3 linked regions of the Arabidopsis thaliana genome follow. The protein of the gene in region 2 interacts with the protein of the main gene of each other region in a pairwise test. Each region holds a gene or a part of one and is shown on either strand. Other genes may lie near its edges.

Region 1 (6,524 bases), on a different chromosome or scaffold from region 2:
GAGGGAAGAGCTTTAGTTTGAATTTCCTCAGACTCATAGCTCTCAGCAGGATTGGTATTCAAGGTCAAATTATCTAACATCTGAACAGAGACATCGTCAGCATCAACTGACTCATGAAGGTTATCGGAAATGGGACAGGTTGATTCTTGTTCTGTAGCACTTTCAAAAGCATGTTCACGCTGAAATTCAGATTCCAACATTGCTTCTGATAACCCTGTAAAACAAACTCAAATATCTCATGACATGCTGCACCAAGTTAAATGATTGACTGATTCATTACTAAAGATTAAACTTAACCAAGATCAGATATCTCTTGCTTGAGCTTGCGAATGGCTAGGCCTGCTTGCTCCTGTCCTCTTTTATCACGCTTCTCCTTTGCTTTTATAGCATCTGATCTTGCCGAATAGTATTCTTTGGCAATCACATCGAATGGCCTTGGACCAGAGACCTAGTATGATTTTTGAAATCAAGATATCACAGCAGAGAGAGACATAAAACCAGGAAAACAAGACCAATATGGTATTGTACAACTAATTTGACTGAAGTTTGCAATTTCACATAATCATCATAAACAAATGAAGAAAAGTTCCACTTCTACCAAATGGGAAAGAAAATATATTGATAGCAGGTAGCCACAAAGACTCCAAAAATTGAACCAAATATCTTACTAAACCTCTGCCATAATGGATACGCTTAAGGTAATCCTTTTTTCAGAAAAAACAACAATTCATTAAACAAATTCAAGAGCTTCCAGATATTCATAGTTCTGTAAAGGTCTAAAAAACATGAGGAATATTTACCCTTGAGCAACATGCATGAAAGCTAATATACAAGGACATTGCAAAAGTGTAACCACATAAACATCCATCTTGGAACTGGTCTCACTAAGTAGTCTACCATATTCCATTTTGTTTCGATAATGGAAACAAGCTGAATTACCTTATTTCTGGGGTCAATACCATCTACTTCATCTTCCCAACATTCCAATTCTTCCTGCAAATTTAATTCAATGAGAAAATTCATCCATGAACTAAATTTTGCTTTGAATTGCGCTTCCGGATCATTTTTCTAACTCTGCTTAAGACGTTGTGGCTAGAACCAAAATGTATGAAGCTTTCACAAAGTGATTAATCATTAAAGCATTCTATATGAGTACCTCTTCCTGTCTCATCATATACTGCCGAATCCAATCAGCTTGAGATGACTTGTCAGAACTAAGAGTATCTTCTTCATCTTGCTTTCCCTTCACACGAACAAAAACTGCAGGTTCCTCTTCCTCTACCCTGACTGAAGAGTCAGTAGAATCATTCCAATCGTCCCGTGAGGTCGATATCACACCCACAGAACCTCCTACAACCCCAATAGGAAGGTACAGGCATCAATACACGAGAAGTACAATCATTTACGTGAAGGCAATGTTATGTACATACCTGTGGAAGGAAAACGAGAAGCTCCAGTAGAAAACTTCACAGGCAACTCATGACTCGGCAAATTCAAACAAAGCCAATCAAGTGCAGCCTCAAACGTAGCTCCATCCTTAAACACAAACATACACATTGTATCAGGAATAGCTTGAAGAAGCTAAACATTTTTCAAAATGAAATCGAAATTAAATTCAAACAAAGGCGAGAGAGTTATACTCTAAGAGAGGAGAGAGCGAGTTCAATCTGATCATCAACGAAACCTTCGCAAGAGAGCTTCTCATAGACATTATTGAGTTTCTTTGTCTTTTGAGCTTTGGAGAGAGAATTACTGATTGGAGCTGGAATCGAAGGACCGGAGCGGCCAGAGTTGAGTAAGAGCCGCCGCAAACGATCCTCGTTCTCCGCTGATATCTGAAGCTTAGGACCTGAAGAAGGTTTCTGATAATTCGATTTCGACGATGAAGAAGACGAAGCAGCTTTGTTGCTTTGCTTCTGAGGTTTCTTCTTCGGAGCCATTCTCTTCCGACTAGCCTCCTCTCGTCTCGTCCGATCAAAAAAACGGAACCTGAAAGTCGGAGAAGAATATTAAATTTTGGGCCTCATGAGCTTTATTCTTAAAGCCCAAATGTTGTTATTTGTTTATTTTCTCCCAAATATTGTTCCTCTTTGCCGACCAAAATCCAACCGAACTATCTTTTTATACCGAATTTTGAGAAACCGAATCCGAACCAAACTAATCAACCAAAATTCACTAAAAAGGTCAAAAACCCCAATGTATTTCTATAAAAAAAAATATAGAGAAAAAAAAATAAATATATTAACATGTATATAATAAGTTGTTGTTGTTGTTTTTTTTTCCCAAATCCGAAGCTGATATTCAGTTTTGAATAAACTCAGTTTTCAAAATTTAAAAACTAATCCAATGTTATTTAATCATGGATTTTTAAAACATTTCAAGTAATTTGTGTTAAAATATCAAATCCTCTGTTATTCAATCATTGATTTTAAAATTTCTAATGAAATCCAATATTTATTGAACTAGTGATTTGAAAATCTACTTTAAAATCTCATGTTATTGAAAACATTTTAAGGATTGGATTTTTAGTAATTTTAAGAGACTTTAGTGAATTTTAGTGGATTCCTTAGTTTAAATACAAAAATTTAAATCTCATAGTTTTGTTTTTTTGTAGGCAAATCTCATAGTTTTAAGTGGGATTTGAGAGGATTTTGATTTTATATTTGAGTTAATTTGGGTTTTATATGTTTTTTATATAACAAATTGTTGTTTTGTTGGAAACTTTCAGGTGGAGTTAGTTGAGGAGAGGCCTCTGTTTTTTTTATTGTCTTCTTTAGTCTCTTTGGTATTTTGGTTTGTCTTCTCTTGTTTGTGAGATTTTAAACATTGTCTACAAAATGACACTTTTTAAGTTTAAAATTATAATTGGTCATGCAGTTAGAAGTTTATACTTTTAACGAATACTGACGTTGTAAAGAGATTTGGACAAGACTTAAAACTGATTTAAGTAAACAAAAAGTAGTTGGCAAGTCAACTTTTAAGGGACTTGGTATGGTCTTGACTTCACCTTGACACAACAGTCATCTAGTCTCTGCCTATAATATGCTGTAAAAGCAAAGAAACCAAACCGATTCCACCCAACAAACCAGCAATACCAAATACAATACATTCTTCTCTATCTATAGTTCCTCCATGGATATAGAAGAGATGGAAGGAAATAATCAAGTGGAGGAACATCATGTCGACACTTCTCGTCCTTTTAGCTCTGTTAAAGAAGCTGTTGCCATATTTGGCCAACGGATTATGCTACCGGTACAAACTCATACCATGAACTCTAAATCGGCAAGTCCTATTGCTGCTAGTCGTAGCATCAACCAGAACGCTAAACCAAGAAGCCCTGGACTCAGCCAGACCGTTAAATTGGTAATTCCTACTGCTAGTCCTAGCATCAGCCAGACTGCTAAATTGGTAAGTCCTATTGCTAGTCCTAGCATAAGCCAGACCGCTTCTTCATCTTCTTCTCCATGGAAGCAACGCTCCTTGTTGCCCCCTTCTCCTCAAGGTCCAAAAGAAGAGATCATGGATGTGTTGAAGAAGCTTGAAGCCGAGATAACGGAAACAAAGACAGAGGTGAAGATGTTGAAGGAGAGAGAATCAGAGACAGAGGTTGCTTTGGCTACTTTAAACGCAGAGCTACATAAGAACAAGTCAAAGATAGCGAAAGCCGAAGCTGATGCTGCAGGGAAGAGCGCGGCAGCCATGACGAAATCAGTTAGCTTCAAGGACACAAAAGAGAAGGAAAATGGAGAGGACCAGAGGAGGAAAGAGCTGATGAGGAAGATGCAGAAGGAGTATCCTTCATTGGCTCAGATACTTGACAGTAACAAAGGAAACAGAGATGGGTATTTTGCGAACACTAAGAAGACGAAGAAGAAGAAGAAACCTATCATTCCTCTTGTGGGAGATTTCTTCTTCTTCAAGAAGAAAGGTTCTTCGCCTGAAATATCTGGACCTCTTTACACTACCTCTTCCACCCTGCACTTTTAACTGATATACCCAAGATCATGTACCCTGCAAGTGTATATATATGTATATGTATGTATGCACATCAATATTCGTAATATCTATGTATGTATGTGTTTTCGTGTGAGTGTGTTTGTGTGTGAGCGTATTCTTTATTTGTTTGTCTCTTTCTCTCTTTGTTTGGATTTTGAGTCCAAACCATCAGCGTGTGTTCCCCCTCTACTGTAACAATTACCTGTCAACTATCAGATTGTGAATATACAATGTTACTCTACTATTAGCACTGATTAGATACACAATCCAAAGATTAACTTCTATATTCGTAGACAAAGATAAAGTGTGTGATTATACAAAGTTAGGAAGTCAGTACGAAAAAGGCCAAGTGAGCATACCTTTCTAGAGACAGGTAACTCGCAACACCGAGCCCGTGTGAGCAAAAGGAATTGGTTTCTGGAACCAAAACCCCCGCCAGGTTAGCAAAAACACAGAACAACAAGTGATAACTATTAACAAATGAGTTCTGCAAAGATGTATTATTAAAAAAAGGCTTGTTTTTATTGTTCCAACGGGATTAACAACAACGAATAGGATCCATACAGAAAAGAGATGTAAAAATTACAACAGCACGGAGGACGACGACTGCAGCAGAAAAGGGAAAGAAAAAAAAAAAAGAGACACGCAAAGGTACCAAAAAACTCAGAGATTTACACCAAAGAGTCTTCTTAAAACTTGTTCAGCATATGCATCTTCCTTACCAAAGCATTTAAATCCCGAGGTTTCTCAGGAGCTGACCCCATCTTGGAGTATCCTCATCAAAAATGTAGGTCAAAGGTGAAACTAATACCCCACTGCCTCCGGCCTGCAATAACATTTATGAAAATGACCAAACCAAAAGAGGGAACGATAAACACAGATTTATGTGGAACGTGGTTGGTGCAAAAGTAGAAAGAGGATCAATAAGTTTTAAAGATCGGGTGGGAGTAAGATAATTGAGAAAAAAATGGCAGGGATTACTAAGAGAGAAATGGCAGGGATTACTAACCGCTCTAAGTTGCTTCACAGAGTCGTATAGGGCCTTTTTTGGTACACAAATCACGATGGCATAGTAGTCAACCGATACTTTTCCATTTTGTGTACAGTACACTGGGCTTATTGTCGGTCCCTGCTTGTTATAGACCCCATAAACAATCAGCAAGAACTAAAAAGCTAAGGCTTAAGAACTCCCACATTCTGAAACATTACCTGCAATCCTGACAATGATGGTTGGCTCAGCACACGCTCAGCCACTTCCTGAGCACTATTTCCTCTCATGTTTGCAACAACCTGAAATGAAATTATTAGAGAAAAGAAAGCGAAAGGGGTGAATAAGGAAAACACATCATGGAACCAAGTGCGTACAGTGAATTGGCCATCCGCCTTTAGATGGGCCTCCAATCTCTCAAGAATCTCGTGTACTGTGTTTAGTGCCCCTTTTCTCTCGTTTAATGCTCTTCTACTTGCCACAAGTGCCGCCTGAAATTACAAAGAAAAAAAAAATGTTCAGGAATGATGGCCGCCAACAGATTCTAAACAGACAGTTCATGGATCCAAGAACTTCACATCACCTGGCTTTCCAGCACAACACCTCCTTCAATTTCTTTCAAGTTGTTCTCTTTGAGTGTTATACCACTACTCACAAGATCCAAAATGGCATCAGCTATCCCCATCTAATTAACAAGCACATATGAGTCAACAGATTATGCTGGTAAGGCACAGTAAGATATGAAATCAGGACACTACAAGCTGACAACATTATCCTCCACAGAGCATATCAGTTTAACACTTGTTTTTAGAAAAGAATACAAGCAACTTAATGCCAAATGTTAAGCTTTTCGTTGAAAATCTCACCGCTGGAGCTGCCTCCAGTGCTCCGTCTGCAGTTGAAAACACCACATGCTTTATGCCATTTTCTTTCATAAATTTGGGGCCGAGCTGCAAAAACCAGTTGAATCATTCCCAAATATTATGTTGAAGCGAAATGGACTCTGAGAGAAATTAGATGACAACAGCGCACCAAAGAAGAATCTGTAACTCATCATACATAAGTGAAGCCAGTAGCTAAGCGTAAGGGTCTCTCTTCACTCCATTGGGGCATTTGCGCTAGCTCCTTCAGAGAATTTATATTCTCAAATATCCCATAGTTTGGAATCTGTGACCATTTGAGATACAATCAGAAAACCATCCACGGTAATGACCTGAGGACCTTAACCACAATAGATTAAAGCATACCGCAATAGACAGGTGACAGTCTCCAAAGTTGAGAGCTTCATGGACAATGATAAGATCTTCATTTTCCTAGAAAGAAAATTCAAACATCTAAATTATGATGCAAGGGGGCTTATCAGAGACAATCAAAGGGAAACTTTAAATTTTAAACACTATACGCTAAAGCAACAATATGGCATACTAATGATGAGAGAATAAAAGTAAACTGGTTCCAGCATAATGATAATGATAAAAATCACCACTGCTAATTCCAGCATCCTGAACATGATATCAAAGCTCTTCAAAAGAATATTTTT
Region 2 (8,576 bases):
GGAAACATATTGCACCAGAGTGCATGATCTGAGTAACGCAACAATTATGCATAATCAAGTCAAAGAAAGAGGCAAAATGTAGTATTCAAAGAATATAACAAAAACCAACGCTAACCTGCATAGAGAAGTTAAACGTCATAAATTCTACAACGGGCTTTAAGCCAGCATAGGCAGCACCAACTCCAATTCCAGTAAATCCAGCCTAAAACATGGTTAAACGATAACTGTCAGAAATCTTCTCAATCAAGAAACATGGAAATAAGGATTGAGACTGCAGTACAAGATAATAGTATAAGAATTCCAAACCTCAGTAATAGGGGTATCGTAAACTCTCTCAGGACCATATTTCTCCAAAAGGCCTTTAGTGATCTATGAGTACATGATAGACCTCCAGCATCAGATCAGGGTCAAAACAAGAGAAATTTAACTGGAAAATATCTATTTCCATCAGGTCAAATAATTCTAACCTTGTAGGCACCTTGATATTGGCCAACCTACAATAACAAGATAAAAGATGAGATATTGATATCTGATTAGAAATTGCAAGATGAATTTATCAAACATGTTAGCTGCAACTAACCTCTTCACCCATGACAAATACTTTAGGATCAGCAGACATTTCCTCATCAATTGCAGAATTTAGAGCATCTCTGACTGTCATCTAAACAATGATTTGCACAAAAAATTGTAAGCAATATTACAATATTTTGGGAAATTCCACATACAAGGAGAAATATGTTTGACAAATATTAACAAAGACTGACGGCCGTATCAGCTTTATCAACTATATGAAAAAAAAATTGGGTTCTCGAAACGTAAATTAAAATCTAACTTAAGCTACACTTGTTGGGATTCTAAATGTCACTACACTATTTATGTGAGTCAGCTATCAATCCACCATTTTCAATGTCAGAACTAATGAGAGAAAGCTAATAGGCTTAAACATCTATGCAATGATTATCGACCCTTGCGCTTCTTGGATGCTCACAGTTTACAAAATCAAAAAACATCCAATATAGCTAAACTCGACATTTCGGTGAACACAAAAAAAAAAGTAATCGACATAGTTTGCAGAAGACAACATTAAGCTATCATCCAAAGAAAAAGTTTAGAGTAGAAAAGTGGTTTGGCAGACATTAACAGCTCTAATCATCCTAAATTGACCACAATTATCTTCCAATAGCTCATTAAAACCAAACCTGTATAATAACGCTTCTAAACCATCCGAAAATTCAATAAAAGACATTTTACCTCTTTTGCACCAGCTGCATAGCTCCTAGCAGAAACCAATGCGAATCGCGTCCTCCTAAGAGTCTGATCAAAAACCAAATTTCGAAAATCAGAAAACAAAATCCGAACCTAAAAATCTCCCAAGTAAAAATCTCAAAATCGTAATCGCACTGAAACAAATAAAAGGAGTAAAAAAGTCTCATACCGAAGCTCCATCGATGGCTCTTTGCCTCAAGATTCCCAACATTCTCTCTGATTAACAAACAAAAAGCAACAGTAATCGCAGGATCAAAAGCCCCGTAGATCTAACAATCATCGGAAATTGAATAGAGAAATCATAAATCCGGAGAAACAGAGTAGATCAACATCGGAGATAGATTTGATTACCTGAGCTTTGTACGATCTAACCACGCCGGCGAAAAAGTGAGAGACGGCGGATTAAGAAGAGAGCAGATACGACTCAAAGCGTGAGCGAAAGGGCACTGTTTTTTTGTTGTTGTTCTAAAACACAACGAAATGATTTCAATTAGCTGAATAAATGAGAGAGTAGGTCTTCTTCATCGAATTGTACAGGAGCCGTCCGATTAATATCTGCTGGTCATGATCGATGGTTGACATTTCGTTATATACTTTTTCTTTTCCAATATTATATTATTCCATTTGATGTTGTTGAAGTTTGTAAAGGAAAGTGGATGTGACCAAATTTAATTTGACGTTATACTTATTTTAATTCAGAGAGATTCGCTTTTTTTAACTAACCGAATCCATAAAGATGCAAACCGAATCATAATCCATATCGGTTTAACTTTTCTTCGGTTCAAATGGTTCGGTTCGGTTTGGTTTAAGATTGCAAAGAATCAGCTGGTCATTATGGCAGATGTTGAAGTAGCTATTCTTCTCCAAATCGGTTGTGAACTTAGTGAATGCAGAATCATTCTCTTGTGAACCTGGAGATTTGCAGAAGCTGCAGCTGAATTAACTATTATCAATTTGCATTTTGTGAGATAAAATGGACTTAGCTCGCAAAAGAGCAGAATCAATATGATGTGATATGTTTCTACATTTTAAAGTGAATTTGGAGTCTAATTGTAGTTTTGTAATCTGAAGTGCTAATTAGTTCAAAACTCTGACAAAGAAAAAAAGAGAGCAAAACACTGAATTCATAGTCTCTCTCTGTTTCATGGTTGAACAGCAGAATCAGTACTGTTAGTTTCTTTCTGTTTTCTTTCAGCTTGAAGGGATCTGCAAAGTGATTCAAGCTTGTCTTTCTGTTTCTTTGTCTTCTCCAACAGTTTCTTCAATCTTTCACGCTGTTCAAGGTCAACCAAAAGTGTGATTTTACTGGTTTCATAACCAAAATCTACAAACCCTTAAAGATAGTGAGAGAACAGACGGTTTTGTTTTACCTCTTCGACGAGTTCTATGAGAGTGATATCCGACTTCTCAGTTTTGTTTTTCAAGAATGCGTTTTCTTTTCTGAGTTCTTTGATTGCTTTTGACATCTACTCAAAAAACCAATAGAGACAGGATCAAGTTAATAAGATCACATAAATAGCACTTATGATCTTTCAAAGAACCTCGAAGGTATAAAACTGTTATTACCTTATCGATTTCTTGTTTGAATGTTTCAAACACCTCATTGCTCTTAACCAACGCGTCCTGCATAACCAAACAGCCTTTCACTTTACAGTCTTTTCATATAATATCAGTAAAAAACATATCTTAAGAGAGTATTGTATCACACCCAAAGCAAGCAATCTTATTATCTGTGATCACAGTGCATCGAGAAAACGATTAAGACTTATTTAGGAAGTGTAAAAGGGGAAGAGAGCAGACCTGGAACTGCTGGAATTTATCTCCATCAGAAGTCAGCTGCAACCGCAAATTTTTCTCAGTAGACAAAAGCTGAGAAACTTGATCTGCGTAAACTTTCATCTGAGATTGTTCATGGATGAGTTTCTCCTCGTGCTGTTTAATTTTTAAAGCAGAGATCTGTAGCTCAAGTGTTTTCTGCTTCAACTGTCCATTCGAAAATGAGATGTTGTCAAGTAGACATCGCAGTTAAGCCAATTATTTTGGCTAAATCATGCTTCATATATAGTTGGAAAAAACGAATAATTTAATTACCCTTTGCTCATGTTGTTGTTCTGAAAGCATAAATTGATCAGCCAGGTGCTTCAACTTCGTCCTTAACCTGGAGATTAAGAAACAAACCCATTGTAATTAGAATGGACCTTTATAATATGTTACTGAGCTGATACAAGCAAAGCCGTTTTAAAAGCAATACACATGTAAGAATATAGTTTCCAGAATGTGGGCGAGCATATTCATACTGTATTAACTTAAACTGCAACAAAACTATACATATATAATAAACATACTATAATTTTCCTACTCCAAATGAACATGTTATGATTGAGTTCTTTCCGCTTACATCTCATTTTCTTTGAGTTGCGTGAGGCTTTCATTCTTTTGCTCGTCCAACTTAATGCTCACATCCTATAAACAAAAGAGGATTAGGAAGGTAGAGAGCATAAGAAAAAAATCAATCAAATAAATTCTGATTTTGTTTTTGTAAGTTTTTGATGTTGCAAAAGCCTGCAAGCAATTCATCAAACTTAGTTCTATCAATCTGTAACTTGAAACCAATATGGACAATTTTCTACTTTGTTTAGTTCCAATTATTTCCAAGGACTAAATTTTAGTGTAGATCGGTACTAACATTTGCCAATGTCAGTGTAGAGAGTTTCAGAAAGAAGAAAAAGATATTGCCATGACTGTCCAAAGCATATAGCACGGAAGATTAAAGGAGATAATATCCTAAGAAAATATAACAAGGATCAATAAATGATGTGCATTTAAGATTTGCATACTTAGAAACACAAAACAAAGCTATTATCCAATACTTGTTCCTCTCTAAAACTGCCAATACCGACGGCAAAATGGCTCAAATTTCTATATTCAGCAAAGATCAAAACCCTGGGAAGAATTCACATCGAAAGAAAAATGTGTTCAACTTACCATTATAGCATCCTGGAACTTTGTCGATAAATCCGATCTTAAAGTCTGTCCCTCAGTTGAAACCCTCTTGCATTCTTCCTGTTATACAAAGGAACATTTAGTTTACACACCAAAAGGTTAGTTCCTCAAAACAAGACACACCAAGTAGAGTAAGCAAGAAGAAAGAAAGAACAAACCATTAACATTTTGTTCTGACGTTGTAACTCTCTACAAAGTGATTCAAGCTTGTCACGAACAGTAATAGCTACGGTTAAAAACAATAATGATGAGTACAGACTATAAAGCATTAAACGATGAAGGTAACACAAAACTAGTTTGGTTTTATTGATATCCTATTACCAGAATCTCTTTCAGAAAGGACTTGCTGATACTTGAGCATAAATTCCAAAAACTCTTTCTCTGATTTGAACATATTCTTTGAACCCTTACGCTTGCTCTCAACCACCTCCTGCTTTCAATATCATCAGCACACAAATCAGATACATCATCTTCAACATATATTCTTCTCAAAGCAACAAGATTGAAGAACTCATCAAAATACTGACTTGTTTTTTGGGTTTGAGTGAATCCATTTCCTTAGACAAGGTTGAATTTTGAGTTGACCCTTCTGACACTAACTCAAACAAAAAGCAAAGAAACAAACTTTAGGTTACAAAAGAAGCAAATTCCTATAAAGAAATTAAGCTTCACATTTTCACTCACATGTTTGAGAAATAGGAGGAGAAGCTTCTTTTTCTTTCTGCTCGAACTCTAACTCAAGCTTGATTGATTCTTGAATTAGGTCAGCTACTTCGTCATCTTCATTACCATCAGTTTCACACAACGGAACCGGAAAAGTTCTTGGCTTCTCTGTTTTCTCGATCGCAACAGTTTCATGGTTTGTTGTTTCTTCCTGGGTCTTGGGAGAATTGAGAGGCGGCTCTGTTGCGCCGTCGACGAATCCATCGGGTAAAGAATCGACTTCAGGGAGCAAATTCGAGTGCGGTGACTCCATTTTTTGAGTCTGGATCTGATGAAACCTAATACGAAGAAAACCCAAATATCTTACAACAATTCTGATAGGTAAGTTTAAATTTGTTCTTTCTTTTAGATTCGTTTGTAAAATTTTATTTGGTATAAAATCTTAACAATAAAACCAAAAAAAAGAAAAAAAAAATCTAATTTTGACTAAATTAAATGTTGTTCGTTGTTATTCAATTAATAACTTTAAGTGTTAATAATTGATTTCTTCATAGAAATGTTGAAATAAAGTGTTATTGGTTTTTTAAATTTGAGTATCATCATTATCACGTGACTTTGAAATTCAATTTTATTTGATTAATAAATGTTTGGAAATGATCAACTAAAGAAATGGTGTTACATTCAAGTTTGATAAATTCTTATTGATGCTTCGTTTACACAGAGAAATGTCAATTCGAACCGAAAGCATATAAAAATTTGGTCTCGCAACTTAGACCAACTTCAATAGTAATTTTTTAGTAGAAACTCATACAATTAAAAAAATATATATATTTAAAAGTTAAAAAAATATATATATGTTTTAGAAACTACATGAATTCTATATGCGGGAGGTACTCTTAGTCATTACTGACAAAGATCTCAAATTGGGCTTAACTCGGATAAACATGATCATAAACAAATTTAGTTTGAAAACCATTTTTTCTTTTTTATAAAACTCAACAAAAAAAAGTTAAAAATTTAAGAGGCCATCATTGATAAAACTTTCAACTAATTAATTTTGTCTAAATAAACTTTCAAATTATCAAATTTGAACTTGGTTATTAATTAACTAATGGTCAACGATAATTTTGTTCTGAATAATATACCGTTTTTGACGACATATTAATATAAACTCTAAAAAATAAATTAAAAATTGTATTTTAGGATTTGTAATTAAGATTTTTATCTTTCCTATTATGACTAACACTTGTGCATTCCGAAAACAAACGGAATTCACAAAGTTCAATTACTTACACCTTTTAGTGTGTTTTTTCTTCTATAATTGCAGTTTCCTATATGTTACTCTAATTTTATTTTCATTGGTTAATGTAACAATAAATTTGACATTTAGACAACACTTTTTTTATTGCACAAGTTCAATTAATTACATCTTTCCACGTGGAAAAAAGTAAATTCGTCAAACACTAACTTAATTATCCTGATCAAAGAAAGCAAAGGTGAAGAAGAAGAGGTTGTACAAATTCTGAAACAAGCGTCTCTTAAAACAAATCAAAGGTCTAAAATCGTAAGGTGGTTTTGATTATTCATCGTGATCCCGTACGTACACCACACCATTCTTACTTCAACAAATCAGTCAATGCAAAGATGGCAAACATATTTTGATCGATCACTGGCTCGATTTCTCTTGCACCAAACGAGAATGAGTGTTTCCCATGCATCCTCCACCTGCATAGCACGGCGCAGTCACATTTGCTAAATACTTCCTCGGCAATGCGATTCCGAACCTCTTTCCTCTTCTTTCTTTTTTCTCCTTTTTGACAATGCTTCCGTCCTATAGAAATACAAATATATCATTGTTAGAGATCCTCATAGATCAAATAATCAATAATGTGAATTAATGTGATTGACCACCTCTTTTATCTCTGTCGTGACGCTTTCGGTTTCCATCGACTTTCTCGCGTCTTCTACATCTTTTTCTGCAATAGTGAATGGATAAATTGTTTCAATAACGAAACTACATAATATAACAAGCATTTCATATATAAACATATATATGTCTCTAACAATGCATGCATCCATATACAAATACAAATAGTAAATGATTTATACATGTATATATGTGTGTTTGTATAAGAACATATGATTTACCTTCATCATCATCATCAGAAGGAACATCGACGCAATAAACCCTAAAGCTTGGAGATCCAGGACCAATCATTCTCTCATCAAAGTTGTTGATACTCCCTTCATCAACATCATGATTCTTACCATCATCTCCTTCCTTCTTAACATTGATGACGACCACATCATCATCATGATTTTCCTCCTCTTGCTTCTTCACAACCTCTTTATTTTCCTCCTCTTGTTTCTCCACAACATCTTGATGATGATTGTCCTCTTCTTGTTTGTTCACAACTACTTCTTCCTTCACCTCTTTAACATCATCTTTGGATGGAATCTTTTCATAAATAACCTCTTTCTTCTCTTCTACATTATGATCAGGCGCCGGAGCAACCTTAGCGGACGCCTTCAAGCTACCGTCGTTCTCCTCCGTATCTTCTCCGTCCTCGGAAGAGTTATGCCTAAGAAGCTCTTTCTTAGACAACGTCTGGCTCCCTTTCAAGACGCCTGCATGGCTCCGTTTCTTCATCTCCTCTAACCTTCGCCGGAGAAGGGGACGTATTCCCGCTGGAAGTGGCACAACCCCGCCTTCTTCCGCCCTTGTCGTCGCCACACCTCCAAGCCTCGAGCCACCGCAACCCATATTAATATATAAATAAACTAACAAATTGATGGTGTAATCGCCGCCACCAAAAAGATCATAAGGTGGCCGGTGGGTGGCCGGAGAAGATTTTAGAAAATAGGCAAAGGAGAGGAGAGAAGAGAGCCAATGAGTTGGGAGGATGATGAATGAATGATAATATTTAGGAATCCGAGAAGAAGAAGCGAGAGAATGTGAGATTATTAAAGGGTTGAGATTGTGTGATGTTGATTGGTTAGTTACGATTTGTTTGCTAAATTTGGTAAATAGTGATTTATTTAGGCAAATACATGAGTTGGTTTAATTTTTATCTAAGTGACATCTTCATTCTTATTGTCATGTGTGACTATTACCGTTCGTCTCTAATGAATTTGCAGATAACTTTGATGTCTAAATAACTGTATTGGTCACATGACTCATAACATCATTAATGTCTCCAAGATTATTTGTTTAGTCAAGAAAAAACCCCGAAAAACGGAAAGTCTTTTGTGAGGGTTAATCTAAAGACTTCTTGTTCTACATGAAATTGGATGGTTGCAAACTGATAATGTCTTAGTAATAATTAAGTCCAATTAATTATGCATAAAATCATATTGTTAAATTATATTAAAATTGTGGTGATTTTAATCTTAAGTATGGTGATAGTTGTCTTCGCTTCTACACCATCCATGCATATTGCATACATATTGCTCATCAGCCTAAATTAATCAAATGCGATCACAACTATATCCTCTCATTTTTTGTATCAAATCAAGTCAATAACCCCCACGAGTTTACCATGTATTTATTTTAGGAAATTCTATATTTAGAAATCTTGAATTCAAAACAAAATATACTAATGATGAAGGAGCATCTCCATTGCATATAAAAGGAGAGGGTCTTT
Region 3 (7,615 bases), 6.3 Mb from region 2:
AGATTTGTTTACACCAAGCTTTTGTCCGTTCTTGGGTTTGCGAGGAGGCCACAGGAAGCTCTTCAGATATTCAATCAGATGCTTGTAAGTGGCTTCTGATTTAAGTCAGTTCGTGATATGGTTGATGTAGATGATCGTTGTACTATAGCATCTTGCGTTTTTTGGATTAACTCTCATTCCTTAGTCACTTTAGGGTGATCGCCAGTTATATCCTGATATGGCGGCGTACCACTGTATTGCTGTAACACTTGGGCAAGCGGGTTTATTGAAGGAGTTGCTTAAAGTAATCGAGCGTATGAGGCAGAAACCGACTAAACTAACTAAGAATTTGCGGCAAAAGAACTGGGATCCTGTGCTTGAACCTGACTTGGTTGTATACAACGCTGTAAGTGAGCATTTCCGAGTTTTAAACTTCGTTTAATATCTATATGCACTATGCAGCGAATCACTGTATCTTATTGCTGTGTGATCAATTCTTGGCTTCACTGGTTCCCAGATTCTTAACGCTTGTGTTCCAACACTCCAATGGAAGGCTGTTTCATGGGTATTTGTAGAGTTAAGAAAAAATGGTTTGAGGCCTAATGGAGCTACATATGGGCTTGCGATGGAGGTAGCGTTCTTTTTTCCAACATAAACGAACTGCTGTGGTGTAGTATTTGTGGGTACCCTCAAATATGTAGGGTGGTCTTAAGATGTCATTTTGACAGGTTATGCTGGAGTCAGGGAAGTTTGATCGTGTTCACGATTTTTTTAGGAAGATGAAAAGCAGTGGCGAAGCTCCAAAAGCAATCACATACAAGGGTAAATATTGATTCTCTCTGTATATTTAGGTTACTTCATTTTGGTATCTATAAGGTGATATGATTCTTATAGCGTATGATTGATTCTCAGTTCTTGTCCGAGCTCTCTGGAGAGAAGGCAAGATCGAAGAAGCTGTTGAAGCAGTCAGAGATATGGAACAAAAGGGAGTTATAGGAACGGGTTCAGTTTACTATGAATTGGCATGCTGTCTGTGCAACAACGGGCGTTGGTGCGATGCAATGCTCGAAGCAAGTTCCCTCCTACTTTACCCTTTTTGCTTCTCAGAGAAACCCACAAAATTAACTTTCTTCATAATTCATTAATGCAGGTGGGGAGGATGAAAAGACTTGAAAATTGCAGGCCGCTCGAGATTACCTTCACAGGACTCATAGCCGCTTCATTGAACGGTGGTCATGTTGATGATTGCATGGCTATATTCCAATATATGAAAGATAAATGTGATCCGAATATAGGAACTGCGAACATGATGCTTAAAGTTTACGGAAGGAATGATATGTTTTCAGAAGCTAAAGAATTGTTTGAAGAGATTGTCAGCAGAAAAGAGACTCATTTAGTTCCAAACGAGTATACATACAGCTTCATGCTTGAAGCTTCAGCTAGATCACTGCAATGGGAATACTTTGAACATGTGTATCAAACGATGGTTCTTTCTGGTTACCAAATGGATCAAACAAAACATGCATCAATGCTGATAGAAGCATCAAGAGCCGGGAAGGTAACAAATCTTTGTCTAGTTTAAGTGTTTATGGAAGCATAAGCTGTTGTCTAATTTTGTTTGTTAATGCAGTGGAGTCTTCTAGAGCATGCCTTCGATGCAGTACTTGAAGATGGAGAAATCCCTCACCCATTGTTCTTCACTGAACTGTTGTGTCATGCCACAGCTAAAGGCGATTTCCAAAGAGCTATCACACTGATTAACACTGTGGCTCTCGCATCTTTCCAGATTAGTGAAGAAGAATGGACTGATCTTTTTGAGGAGCATCAAGACTGGCTTACTCAAGATAATCTTCATAAGCTCTCGGATCATCTCATTGAGTGTGATTATGTAAGTGAACCAACGGTCTCAAACCTCTCAAAGTCATTGAAATCTCGATGTGGGTCTTCTTCTTCTTCAGCACAACCATTGTTAGCCGTAGATGTAACAACTCAAAGTCAGGGCGAAAAACCGGAGGAAGATTTGCTTCTGCAAGATACAACAATGGAAGATGATAATAGTGCTAATGGTGAAGCTTGGGAATTTACAGAGACTGAACTCGAAACGTTGGGTCTAGAAGAACTCGAGATTGATGATGATGAAGAATCTAGCGACTCTGATTCACTTTCAGTTTATGACATTCTGAAAGAATGGGAAGAGAGTAGTAAGAAAGAATGAAAATGCTTGTAAATTTCCTCAAAATCTTTAGTAGAACAAAATCTCAATTTTTTTGCTTACTCATCTCACTTCAAAATAGTTTCAAGGTTACTAAACAGATCATCCACATACAATAAAAGATCAGTTATACAGAATCTCAGATTCGGAGAAAGAACATACATATGATCAAACTGCGGATTTACACTGTTACTAACCAAAAAAAGAGAGCAGATAGGTTTGGAAACTTAAAAAACTCTGCAGGTGATGAGATATCGCCTGATTCAAGATCGGCACTCTTAAGAAACCAGTAAACCCACTAAGTATATATATTTTATGGCTTGCTTTGTTACAGAACTTCCCCATGATGGCTATTTCTTTCTGTTTCACCAAGGATGATTACGGATCCTGAACTTCAAAGCTTTCATGGCTGCCTTTGCAAATATCTGAGCAGCTTCAGCTTCTGCTTCTGCTCTTTCTGCCTCTTTTGCTGCTTGTTCAGCCTCTGTGATAGCAAATTCTGCCTCTGCAACTGCTCTTGCTGCAGCCTCTGCAGCTTCTTGAGCTGTCATGCCTTTTATCATATATAATTCACCGTCTACTCGGAATTTAGTGAGACTGTTGGCACCGTTCTCCTCGGGTTTTGTTGGGTCTTTCTTGTTGTTTCCTTCCAGAAAGAGTTGAGGAGCCTTCTGTCTTGCACCTGCGGGAATAAAATTAGAAGAAAACCTGTACTTGTGCTTTATCTGAAAGTGAGAAATCACCAAGTAAGTATTTTTGAAAATTCTGAGAGTAATGAAGTGTTAGTGATCATGAATCTTGAATCAAAAGTTGTGTGTTTACCTTAACTAATGTTCCATTCGATGATAAATGCTTTAATCGTACTGCGACATGCCTTTTCATATTCGGTGGAGTCTTGAAATTCTCCTGAAATTTAACAGCTACTAAGTAAGTATGCAACAAACCCCAACCAAACATGTAATCCCAATGGTAGAAATACCTCTATATACAGAAAGATTGATGTTCTGTCAGAACCGCGTAGTTCCCTCAAGTTGGTAATTGCCTCAAAGATGATCTTATCCAAACTACAAAAACAGACAATAGCGCAAGATCAAATCTTTATGAACTCAAGAAAATCGTTATGTGGTGCATAAGTCAGGGAACCAAACCTTGTAATTGATCTCTTAGAAGCACAAGTGCGTGGTGATCCACCACCAGAACCTCCGGGGGAAGTTGGTTTTGCACGTTCATCATCATTAGTCAAAGCCACAATGGTAAGAGCTGTGTTGTTATCATCCTGTTTAGTACCTGGTGGAGTCCTCTTAAGCGCAAGTTTAGCCTTCTTCCTTGAACCCCATAAAGCTGTCACGCTTATATTTCTCCATTTGTCCTGTTATGCCTTGAACTATCAAGATTAGTCCGAAACACGCGATCACAACCTCCAAAAAGCATATTATATTGTATTACCTTAAGATCAACATTAGAGCGAGACTTAAGGATTAAACTAAACTCAGTATCCGAGAGTATGGTACGCCACTTCCCAGTCCCATGCTTAAGAACTCCAGCTTTAAGAGCTGCTTCTTCTTCCGGTGTCCACTTCTGCTTTGGTGCACCCATCCACAGTTATCAATATTTGAATTTCTTCTTTTCTCTGCCAATAGATGTGAACGCTAACATTAGAATCTGTTAAATCGTACGAAACTTAACCACATCAAAGCCATTGTTGAACATTTCTTATCCAATACAAAATTTTGGTCATCTAAATCCAGCAGATACACAAAGCCACAACATAAAAATGTAACTACACAAATCCAAAGAAATTAGATACGCCCCAAAGCTCAATTCAACAAAAAAATGAGTGATTCGAGCAATCTCGAACCAAAAAAAGAGGATCAAAGCCCATTAACAACGTCGCAAATCAACAGGAATTTGGAAATACAGCCATCAATCTAAAGCGATAGCTAAATTATCAACCAAATTCAAATGGGGCGATCGTAGAAAATTAAAAACAAAAATGGAAAATTCAGAGAAGGAAGCAGAAAGGAGGAAGGAGGAGAAGAAGCATGCCAGATCAAACGAAACCAAAGGAGAGTTTTCGAGAGAGAGACTTGATGATGAAAGCTAATTCCTTGTATAGATGTGTCATAGATCAAATGTGATTCGCTGAAACGAACGAAGAAGAAGAAGACCAGAGAGGCTAGCATAAGGAAGAAGAATATCCATAGAAACGAGAAACAAACTTGAGCTTTTCTTTTGTATTCAAGCTAAGGAAGATGTAACCCTATATTTCTCCACATTCACAAATTTGCCTCAAGTTTATCAAATTACACAATAAAACCTACCAACTAAATGAATAGGATCAAGCTGAATAAAATATACTAGTACTATTTTTTAAAAATAATGTATCTATAAAATTTATCGTTGTTAAATCTCACAGATAGTTTAGGGGCTATTAAAGATTTTTCATATAATAGTAAGACCGAAAGCGTAATTTATAAAATTTTGATGGCTAGATTGAAATATGTGTTTTTTTTTTCTTTCTAAAATCTACAGAAGTAGAAGAAACCAAAGCGAAATCAAAAAGCTCAGCAATTTTCCAGATTTCTCTAATTGACGATGGCGCTTTGTGCTACTACTCAAAGGACTATCCGTATAGCGGCGACGCTCCGGCGTGTTGCTCGACCTTTCGCTACTGACGCGGTGGTTGAGTCGGATTACAAGCGTGGTGAGATCGGTAAGGTCTCCGGAATCCCAGAGGAGCATCTTTCTCGCAAGGTAAATAAGCATTCGATTTCTTACGAATTCAGTTTAGAAAATTAGGGTTCGTGATCAGAGAATCGTCTTAATTGAGCTACATCGTGTTCTTGATTTGATTTTGGTCAATCGAATAGTGCTAAGAGTATTGAATTTGGAAATTAACAGGTGATAATATACTCACCTGCTAGAACAGCTACCCAGTCAGGATCTGGAAAACTCGGAAAATGGAAGATTAACTTCGTCTCCACCTTAAAGTATGCTACTTTTTGATTAAGATAATCCTCTTTTCCTCACATTTTATGTCCTAATATGATTCTTATCCTTAAAATTCCTATCTTTTCAAAACTTAAGTCTTCTGCTTGTGACTAGTACTAGTCCATCACTTGTTGATTAGATTTCGATTGACATCACTTATCTATGGCATTCATATGTTTCTAGGTGGGAGAATCCGTTGATGGGATGGACTTCTACAGGTGACCCCTATGCTAATGTTGGTGACTCTGCTCTTGCTTTTGATTCTGAAGAAGCTGCTAAGTCTTTTGCTGAGCGTCATGGTTGGGATTATAAGGTACGTTGTTTCCTTCTTCGTTTTTAGCTCATTTTTTTTTCTGGTCGCATTCACTCACATTTTATGAGAATGTGATGGTTCTGTTTTTTTTTTTTTTCGATCACCATTGTGATGGTTCTGTTTTAAGATCCCTTAATATAGAATTCAGAGTACTGAAAAACTTACATCTAAATCATTGCAGGTCAAGAAGCCCAACACACCATTATTGAAGGTTAGTAACTATCTTTTTGCTAATGCCGCATTATGACTTACGAGCTCTACTCATATGAGGTGTTTAACCCTAAAGCTGGAGATTCACTGGAACGACCCTTGAATGTTGTGTTAAATAGATAGGATATTCTTTAACTTAACTCATATTGCTTCATCAGAAATGGTTTGGTGCCTCTAGTTTAAGATTTAGCTACTAGTTTGACGAGCGATAGTCTCTTTCATTCCTTTGATTTATTTGGTAGAACATTCTTTAGATTGAAGTTTTAACCTAACCCCATGATTGTTCATCATCTAACATCTAACTGCAGGTCAAGTCTTACTCGGACAACTTCAAGTGGAAAGGCAATCCTCAACCAGAAAACTGATGTTACACCTTCTTCCAATTCTTCTCGAGCAAAAGAAGAAACCTCATTTGATATTAATTCTCATGTTTCTTTGTTATTTTAGCATCTGTGAGCTTTTTGGTTGAAAAGAACCATTATCCATGGCTATGTTTACTTATTACAATAATATGATGATGATGATGAAACACACTCCTTTGATATTTCATCAAGATTTCTGATCACTTCTTTACTGGTTTATTTCGAATTCGTGTGATTGGATTATGAAAGAGAGAGATAATTATGGTCGGAGTCAATAAAACATAAGATACCAAAATTCGAATTGAAAGAAGATAACAACAGAAGAAAGATTGTTGAACATTACATAACATATATGAGGAAATAAAAGTTGACTGAGGCAACGTATATAATTATCCTCCGATCAGAAACATGCATCCAAGAGACAGCAACAACAGAGCGCAGCCAAACTGTGACGTATTTATGAACAGAGCAAAGACATATATTAACTAATACAGTATTATTCCACTAAAACCTAAATACAAAGCAAAACAAGAAACCAAAATAAAGTTAATATAAAGTAGAAAAGATGGGATCAAGAACGTACCATCCTTCAAGCATACCGGCGTTTTGCTTCTGCTGCGGAGCTTGAGAGTACTGCGGCGGAGGATAACCTTGTGCAGGGTATCCCTGAGCATATCCTGGCGGTGGATAACCGGCTGGAGGATAACCGGCCGGAGGATAACCGTCCTTAGGTGGATACCCTTTAAACCGAAATTCAAGAGCAAATTAAACAAGCAGATCGAAGAAGATAAACCAACTATCCAAAACTAAAGAAAAAGAGATAATACCTTGGGGAGGAGGAGCACCGACAGGATGTTGTTCTTGATGATACATCTTTCTTCTTCTTCTGAGTTCTTTGAGCTTTTTTTTCTTTCTCTCTTTGTTTAAAAGCAAACTCTGTTCCTTTCCTTTATAACGAAGCTATGCCGGTGAGGAATAATGATATATACTTTTAATTTAATAAAGGAACCAGAAAATAAAGGAAATATTCTTTAAATAAAGTCTTTCTTGCATCATAAAGATTACGATTAAATTTCTTTGAAAATTAGGTGATCTTCTTCTAATGTGCTAGAAACTTGACCGTACAAGAATTTAATTTCAACTACTCTACTACTAGAATCATTAATTATGGAATAAAAATATCAGAAAAGGGGTTCTTAGTAATCATAAATTTACACTGTTTTAAATTCTAACTCCAAAATGCTGCATCATATGTTTCAAATTCAAAAGAATTAAGCAAATTATGTCAACAAATTGACAAAAAAAAGTTTAAGTTACTATGAAGTTAAAATCACTATTTGACACATAATTTACCCTCTTCTTTTGCTAATACAATGAATACATTTCCGTCAATTTTTCAATATCCATCGTTATCCTTGTACTATCATAATAGGAGAAGAAAACCAAATATAATACAACTTCCTCGCTTGAATAAAAGTTTGAGAGAATTTCAGAATTCGAGAAAAATATGAGTTTTATCCACCCACATGTTAGTCCATATTCCCATGT

The links. Proteins that work in one complex are often made in the same cells at the same time.
Region 1: the proteins of AT5G50840 (region 2) and AT1G58070 interact in a two-hybrid assay, tested with the Arabidopsis thaliana proteins (one large-scale study listed by BioGRID).
Region 3: the proteins of AT5G50840 (region 2) and TRB2 interact in a two-hybrid assay, tested with the Arabidopsis thaliana proteins (one large-scale study listed by BioGRID).

The regions. Positions count from the first base shown.
Region 1 is NC_003070.9:21,499,836-21,506,359, forward strand, and holds AT1G58070 (WEB family protein), read left to right. Parts: upstream 1-3,069; 5' UTR 3,070-3,132; coding exon 3,133-3,987; 3' UTR 3,988-4,243; downstream 4,244-6,524. Other genes in the region: AT1G58060 (RNA helicase family protein), read right to left, coding at 1-214, 298-448, 940-993, 1,157-1,350, 1,431-1,536, 1,641-1,940; ATP-PRT1 (ATP phosphoribosyl transferase 1), read right to left, coding at 4,727-4,822, 5,006-5,125, 5,206-5,286, 5,362-5,475, 5,568-5,669, 5,851-5,934, 6,044-6,151, 6,232-6,297.
Region 2 is NC_003076.8:20,682,572-20,691,147, reverse strand, and holds AT5G50840 (alpha-taxilin-like protein), read right to left. Parts: upstream 5,331-8,576; 5' UTR 5,246-5,330; coding exon 4,954-5,245; intron 4,865-4,953; coding exon 4,797-4,864; intron 4,703-4,796; coding exon 4,591-4,702; intron 4,496-4,590; coding exon 4,428-4,495; intron 4,330-4,427; coding exon 4,252-4,329; intron 3,730-4,251; coding exon 3,665-3,729; intron 3,425-3,664; coding exon 3,358-3,424; intron 3,250-3,357; coding exon 3,067-3,249; intron 2,890-3,066; coding exon 2,833-2,889; intron 2,733-2,832; coding exon 2,637-2,732; intron 2,541-2,636; coding exon 2,409-2,540; 3' UTR 2,226-2,408; downstream 1-2,225. Other genes in the region: MAB1 (Transketolase family protein), read right to left, coding at 116-202, 307-369, 468-494, 581-661, 1,252-1,314, 1,436-1,477; AT5G50830 (nuclear polyadenylated RNA-binding protein), read right to left, coding at 6,599-6,763, 6,841-6,908, 7,081-7,696.
Region 3 is NC_003076.8:26,953,287-26,960,901, forward strand, and holds TRB2 (Homeodomain-like/winged-helix DNA-binding family protein), read right to left. Parts: upstream 4,489-7,615; 5' UTR 4,238-4,488; intron 3,822-4,237; 5' UTR 3,788-3,821; coding exon 3,638-3,787; intron 3,561-3,637; coding exon 3,340-3,560; intron 3,256-3,339; coding exon 3,171-3,255; intron 3,098-3,170; coding exon 3,014-3,097; intron 2,917-3,013; coding exon 2,557-2,916; 3' UTR 2,282-2,556; downstream 1-2,281. Other genes in the region: DG1 (Tetratricopeptide repeat (TPR)-like superfamily protein), read left to right, coding at 3-84, 194-385, 497-610, 708-801, 892-1,049, 1,130-1,537, 1,610-2,194; FRO1 (NADH-ubiquinone oxidoreductase-like protein), read left to right, coding at 4,787-4,945, 5,093-5,181, 5,366-5,495, 5,677-5,706, 6,014-6,070; WIH1 (cysteine-rich TM module stress tolerance protein), read right to left, coding at 6,468-6,513, 6,651-6,807, 6,895-6,940. UniProt on the Arabidopsis thaliana protein: Binds preferentially double-stranded telomeric repeats, but it can also bind to the single G-rich telomeric strand.